Oryctolagus cuniculus: one gene and its partner. The protein of the gene in region 2 purifies or fractionates together with the protein of the main gene of each other region. This does not show direct contact. Links are inferred from orthologs where the notes say so. Each region holds a gene or a part of one and is shown on either strand. Other genes may lie near its edges. The genes, in order: CTNNAL1 and ADRA1D.

Region 1 (3,491 bases), on a different chromosome or scaffold from region 2:
TCTGAAGCCAGGAGCCAGGAGATTCTTCTGGGTCTCCCACACGGGTGCAGGGGTCCAAGGACTTGGGCCATCTTCTACTGCTTTCCCAGGCGATAGCAGAGAGCTGGATCAGAAGAGGAGCAGCCAGGACTAGGACCGGCGCCCATATGATGCCGGCGCTTCAGACCAGGGTGTTAACCCGCTGTGCCACAGTGCCGGCCCCCTGTTCTTTTTCTTTACAAATCACTCCCAGAATTACCCTGTTCTCCACATTATTATTGCCAACCACCTAAATCTAAGTCTTTATCTCTTTATTCTCCTGGTGTCTCTCACTCTAAAATATTCTACATATCATTTTTTTAAAAACATTTGTTTTATTTTTTTGAAAAGCAGAGTTACAAAGAGGGAGGCAGGAACTCCATCTGGGTCTCCCAAGTGGGTTCAGGGGTCCAAGCAATTGGACCTTGTTCCGCTGCTTTCCCAGGCACATTAGTAGGGAGCTACATTGGAAGTAGAGCAGCTAGGACTCAACTCAGCACTCATATGGCATGCTGGTATTGGAAGTGGTGACTTAACCCACTGCACCACAATGCCTACCCCTCTACATACCATTTTAACATAATATTCTAAAGATCCCTATCTTACCTGCACAAGTTCTTCTCCATCATCCTCTTCTCAGGATGCATAGTGAATTGTCACCACCTTTTTATAGTTGGTGATTTTTATGATGAGTATGTGTAGGTTTCATTAGTAAGTATATTTCTTATCAACTACTTGTGGGTATCATTTAAAACAGTAATGTTTTCCCTTCCCACCAGGTTTTTGCTGCGGAGGGTTTAAAGTTTACTTCAAGTATCCAAGGTTTTTCAAAACAGGTAACTCTTGTCTCTCTGCCTGGTGCTGGTTATAGTATCCTAGATACCCACTGGCATAGTATTAAGGTATCAAGATATTTAAGGTATTTCGTTGGGGGTGTTATAACTTCCTAAATTACATTTCAGCTGAAAGATGATGACAAACTTACGCTTCTCCTGGAAATAAACAAGCTAATCCCTCTATGCCACCAGCTCCAGACAATAACCAAGACATCTCTGCAGAATAAAGTACTTCTCAAGGTAAAGCAGAGGGAGGGAGTTACTCAGGTAGACTTTGAGAAACTTGCATACTTCTGTCTTTATCATATTTGCTCCAGGCTGTTTTTTCTTCAAAGAAAGTGTTAATACCTGCAGAGGCACAATTTATTTACATATTTCCCAATTTGATGGCAAGAATCTTTTATTATCTGCTTTTGTAACTGACCCCAGAGAGCAACACATTCACTGAATGAATTGGCTTTTTGGACAGGATTAATTCCATAGCACTGGCAGCTACTGCTAAATCCTGTCATCATCACCTGTCTGACCTGGGCATGAGTGCCTCCAAGGCTGGGCTCCCAGAATTTGTCTAAGGATATGTGGGTTTTTGCCCACAGAGCAGAGTGCAAGGAATGCCAAAGCAGGGAATTTGCTGTCACTATTTGGAGCATTTTGAGTAGCTCCTGAGTAGTCTGAAGGAGCACAGTTGCTTTTCCACCCATTCTTCCTGGGTGGAAACAGGAGTAAGACCTGGGTGACAACGCTGCACTTGTGTTCTGGGGCCTTGAGTCAGCTCCTGTGATCTCTGTACCTTCCAGACCCTTTGTAGTTCCACAATGGAGAAATGCCATTTTCACATCAACTATATGATAAAGTTTTGTGAATTCCCACTTGTAGAATACGATTTGCACGCTTTCTGTCACTATAGGTTGACAAATGTATTACAAAGACAAGATCCATGATGGCGCTCTTGGTTCAACTTCTTTCACTTTGCTATAAACTGCTGAAGAAGGTAAGGCAGTTTTTCTATCTTCAACTCATATTTGAAAAGTTAAAGGAAATTGCAAAAAAAAATTAGTAATTACTACTAATTTTGCAGCTTTTTTTTTTTCAGAATAAAGCAGAAATTAATTGTCTTAACTCTTTCTAACTTCAGACAGAAAATGTCAGATGGGTCTCGGTTACAAATAAAGACACCGTGGATGGTAAAACCTGAGAAGATTTTGGAGTCCAGTTTTTGCAACATCTCTGGCAAAGCCGACATTTTTAAAAAGCAAATTATACTTTAAGAAATTCAACACATTTATAAAGAAAACAATACTGAAATCCTGCTTTATTTTCTGATCATGAAACTGGTTGTGAAGCTTTTGACGACTAATAATTGCCCTAATAGCAGTAAGAATTTTAATTGCAGTGTGATTTTAAAATGTAACATTGCATTAAAACTGTAAAAGTCAAACCAAATATCCCAGATGTCTTAATGACAACTCCATCCAAAGAAGCTATTTTGAATATGCACTCGCCTTTGGCATACTTTACTTTAACTGTTTTCTTATTTAAGCCTATCATCTAGAACACTAATTTCAGCAGAAAATATACAGCAGTTTGGGTGAACACAGGGTTTTGCTATAACAAATGGACTCTTCTTCAGTCCCTGTGTCCACCAAGTGTGACAAAATCCCCTCTGATGCTCCCTCTATCGCAGATCATGCTACTGGCCAGAGTTTGTTCTCTAAGAAATGTTTCACAGAGCAAGGGCTAACTGCTGCACTGCATGTACTTCTGAGCTCCTGAAAGCTGAGTACAGGAACCCACTCCACGGAATCCTGGAGGGAGCAATTCCTGGGGAATAGCAGATAGCCGTCTTCTGGTCCTAGGTCTAGCATAGCTAGCCAGTCTGCCCTGAATACTAGCTGTAATACTAAGCCTATTTTCCTGGCTTAAAAAATAGTTTTGATCTATTCTTCTCAGTATTGATATAATGGAAAAGAAGACAGAAGGATGGAACCAAGAAGCTGTTTAGATTTTGAGTAATTATACATTTTATAATGTGGCCCTGGAATGTGCATTACAAAATAAACAAACATCTTTATTTAGTCATTTTAATTCGTGTTGAAAACTTGTTTTTGTGCTGTGAGTTTTGATGGAAAGATCTGGCTGATAGGTTTTCTCTGCATGTTATACTATGATTGACTTTGTTTTGAGCTCATTTCATAGTGTTTGCATCCCTTGCTTTGAAATTCATTTTGATATCTGATGGGTCATGTCCTTGCCACGTGGCAGTAGATAGATGAGTCTGATGATTTTTCTGTGTCAGCCACCACAATCAAGATTCACGGATTTTGAAGAACCACAAGACTAATGATATTTTACTGAAGAAAACTTTGTTTTTTAAAGATGTATTTACTTGAAAGTCAGTTACACAGAGAGAAGAAGAGGCAGAGAGAGAGAGAGGTCTTCCATTCGCTTCTTCCGAGTCCCCCATGTGGGTGCAGGGGCCCAAGGATCTGGGCCATCTACTGCTTTCCCAGGCCATAGCAGAGAGCTGGATCGGAAGTGAAGCAGCTGGGACTTGAACCAGTGCCCATATAGGATGCTGACACTGCAGGTGTCGGCTTTACCCGCTATGCCACAGCCCTGTACCCTGAAGAAAACTTA
Region 2 (3,814 bases):
GTTGGGCGGTGGCGCTGTACCATTGCACCTGGGTGGAAAGGGCTTTGGGGGTAGCTTTGAACTAGAAGAGTTCCAGGCGGGTGGGGGTCGGAGCCCTGGGGTCTGCGCTATGCCCTTCGCTCACAAACCTCTCCCTGACATCCCCACCAGAGACCTCACGGCCAGATGCCAAGGCACAACCAGGGAAGCAGAGGCCATCTTTCTCATCCTGGTCAGCAGTGGATGGAGGGCAACAGGCGGCCAGGAAGCTGGATCCTGGCGGGGGGCCACAGGGGCCTGTGAGACCAAGCAGGCCGGGGTGTGAGGCGGGCCTTGACAAATCATGCCATCTTCTCTCTCTTCCCCGTTCTCCAAAAGAAAGAGGAGCAGGGTCCCCTACCGAGGACCTGGGGACTCCTGCAACCCTCCATCCCACCACAGAGGGACCCTGGGAGGAAGGGCACACACACATCCCATAGCACAGCTGTTTCCACTCCCGCTCACAGCGCCCTGAGCACTTATTTGGCCATCAACGTCCCCTCTTTCCCTTCCAGAGCCCAGCACTCAGCAGGCTCCCGCTAAATACCTGTGTCTGTTCTCTGCCCGCTCCTCCCCACTTCTGCATCCTCCCAGAGAGAGGCGCCCTCGGCCCTGGGCTGGGGCCTGGACAGTGGCCAGACACAGTGGCTGAGAGCCGACGGGTTCGAGGGCCCAAGGTGCTTTCTGGGATGTGGGGGCCAGCAGGGTTGATGGACTTCAGCCTCCAGGAAGGTGGCCCTCCAGAACAGCACCCCTCAACGGTGCAAAGCAAGACAGAGTGCTGAAAATAGCCCTGTGACTCAGGCTCCGAGCCTTTTATATTTAGCCCAGGATGACAAATCCGTGGACTGTGCTTTCCAGGGGTGAGCCTGAAGCTGGCCAGAGGACAGTGATACCAGCCTGCGTTGATCAGGATGGGTGAGCAGCGGGGCTGGGGTCTTGCTGTAGCGTTCATATTCTGTTTGTGCTCAGGAGGCTTGGGCAGGAGTCTGCGGTGAGCTGGGAGCTCCGTGCACAGGAAGGAGCTGGGGTTTAGCCTCAGTTCTCTGGGCCCACGGTTTCCCTCCTGTATCCTGCCGAGGTTTGCTTTTCCTTGGGCTCTCCCAGAAGCAGACTCTGTGACAAGCGTTCAAACACAAGCTGTTAATTTGCGGGCATCAGTGAGACACCCAGGGTGGAATGGGCAGAAGAGGGAAGAGCAGGAAGCCAAGGACAGGTGTGTTGTCAAGTTCATCATCCCCAGAGCGACATGACTGGGGCGTAACCCCACTGGCGAGCTCAGGGAGACGAGCACAGATCTCAGAGGGCTCCCATCAGCGGGTGTTTTTCACACCTGTTCCCATTAGTCATCCGTTGGGCTGCCGGCCTCCTACCTGGAGGACGGCAGGGATGTTGGTGGCAGAGGCAGCCCCTGGCCAGGACGTAGGCAAGTGTTCAGGTAGAAGCTGGCCCATGTGCATGGGAGGTCTGGGGGTGTGAGTGGGCAGCATCAGCGGCCACAACTTGATTTGCTCACTGCCCACACTGTGCCTAGAGCAGAGACGCTGGGCCGGGGGCTCCTCAGGCCACACTCAACAGCTCCCAACAGACGCTCCCGCTCCCTCTGTTCCTCTCGCAGGCAGCAGGGGTGAGCCTCACCCCCACCTCTGCCTGGGTGCCCAGTCTACACCTGTACCTCCCTGCCTCCCTCTCCCTGCTGCTCCTCTCTTTATCAGCCCATGGTTTCTTGCAGGGGTCTCAGAGGGAGCTGCGGGCATATCCCTCCCCATTGCGCACCATGAGTGTAGGACTGGGGCTCATGGCACAGTCCCTGTATCACTGCTGTACCATTGGAGGGCGTCGATGCACAAAGCCCTTGTCTGCTATGACCAGTGTTCCTGTCTGCCCGTCACTCTGAGTTATGCTTCTGGGTCGGCCAGCTGCCTCACCTCCTCACCCTTTGCACATCTTTGCCAGCTCCTCTACCCCAGCCTCGGGAAAGCCTCAGTGGGCAGATGGAGGTGCTGGGGCCAAGGCCACACTCTCCCAGTGCCCAGCAGCCTCCTTCTCTTCCCTAGGGAGATCTCTTGCTCCCACCCCACACCGTCCACAGCCTTTCTCGCTGAAATCAAGTCCGGCTGTGCCACTGCTTGCGAGGGGGGCTCCCGTGTGCTGCTCCCTTGGCCGCCCACCTCTCCAGCCCCCAGCCTCACCCCCTTCTGTCTCGTGGCCCGAGGGTCCCTGTGCAGCCTTACTTCTGCCTGCATGTGCAGTAGCCAAGGGGCCAACGGGCCTCCGCGGCACACTGGCTCCCTGCTCTTGCCTCTGGCTGTTTGGCACACGATCTCCCCAGAATGCCCTCACTTTGCCTCCTGGTAGTGCCAGCCCCACTGGCACCTCCTCCTGGATGCCTTCCTTGCACCTCCCTGTCCTGACCCAGCCAAGTCATTTGTACTGCCTCGCCCTCCCCCCAGCACATCGCACTGCTAAGAACCCTGAGGGCAACTGTTTGCTGCCCAAGCTGCCCACACCGCGTGTGGCACACGGGAGGTGCCTGGCACATTCCAGGATTCTTCCTTCTATCACAGCCTGCATCTCATCCACCACCAACTCCTGCAGAGCCCTAAGTCCCCCCAACTCCGCACCACCACCCTCGTCTCCCAGGCAGTGTCCTACGCGGTCCCCTGCCCCTGTCCTTGTGTCCCCACAGCCTCATCTCCGCACAGCAGCTGGGGGGCCACGCACTAGCACTACAGCCACCTTCTCCTCGGGCCTGCCCTGCCCACGTGTTCCAGACTCACGCTGGCCTCATCCAGCCAGGTGCTAACCCGGAGCCACTGAGCCAGCCCCGAGCACACGGGGCTCCTTGCACTGTTTCCCGCCGTCTCAGCTCCCCTCCCTTGCCTGTTCCCCACTTTCTGCAGCAGCTCTCTGAACTTCTCCAGCCGGAGCTGAGGAATTCCTGAGAGCTCGGCACCACCTAGTCCCATGCCAGGCCCTTGACGGACTTCTCACGGAAGCCCCAGGACATCCCGGGCAGCGTGGCCATGTGGCAACGTCAGGACACGCGTCTGAGTCGGTATGGCCCTCAAGCTCTTGCCCTTCCCAGCACATCACTACAGACAGAACCTGAACTTTCCCTCGCCTTCTGGGGGCCCTGGGGTCCGGAGCCACAGCCACTGGCTTTCTTCCTCCCAGTGGCAGCCCCAGGAGTGGCAGGCCCACGCCCGTCTGCTGTCACGTGGCTCTCCAGTGGGGAGGGCAGCCCTCCTGCTCTCCCCACAGGGGACTCCTCCCCTTCATGTTTGGCCTGGCCTCCCCTGCTGCAAGGAGCTTTGTCTGATTAAGCCCACTCCCACGGTCTGGGCAGGTGGTGGTAGTGGTTTTTGGTGAGTGTGGGCCTTGGGCGCCCTGTGCTCTGCTGTATGGCATTCATTGCCTTCCCTGTGGCCTCAAGGGTACCCGGCAGCACTCAGAAGGCCAGGTTGATGGCCTGCTCCCTGGAGAGAGCATTAAACTGCCCCAGCTCCTGGGAGGAGCCCGGATAGCTGCTGAGCCATCTCCTTCGCCACCCTCGAGCCTCTGCTCTAAAGTCCCCCTGCAGACTTAATGCTGGTGCTCTTGGGGTCCCACCTGGGTGCCTCAGCCCCAGCTGCTGGGGCAGTTGGCTGCCAAAGGCTCACCACTGCCCCCTTCACTGGAGAGCCTGCCCTGGGCCAATGGGGGCCGCTTTAACCTGGGGAGACCCCTGCCCCTCAGGGGGCAGCCTGCAGCCAATGACAAGCTGATGGGTGGACAGGACAGGTCTCACAGCCTC

What was found.
Region 1: the proteins of ADRA1D (region 2) and CTNNAL1 purify together in Homo sapiens (tandem affinity purification; 3 studies listed by IntAct, with this or other methods). This does not show direct contact. The link is inferred for Oryctolagus cuniculus from reciprocal best matches to the Homo sapiens genes ADRA1D and CTNNAL1.

What each region holds. Positions count from the first base shown.
Region 1 is NC_091432.1:212,649,302-212,652,792, reverse strand, and holds the end of CTNNAL1 (alpha-catulin), read left to right. Parts: intron 1-797; coding exon 798-854; intron 855-980; coding exon 981-1,094; intron 1,095-1,761; coding exon 1,762-1,845; intron 1,846-1,989; coding exon 1,990-2,049; 3' UTR 2,050-2,939; downstream 2,940-3,491. UniProt on the Homo sapiens protein: May modulate the Rho pathway signaling by providing a scaffold for the Lbc Rho guanine nucleotide exchange factor (ARHGEF1).
Region 2 is NC_091442.1:29,485,252-29,489,065, forward strand, and holds part of ADRA1D (alpha-1D adrenergic receptor), read right to left. Parts: intron 1,135-3,814; coding exon 509-1,134; 3' UTR 1-508. UniProt on the Homo sapiens protein: This alpha-adrenergic receptor mediates its effect through the influx of extracellular calcium.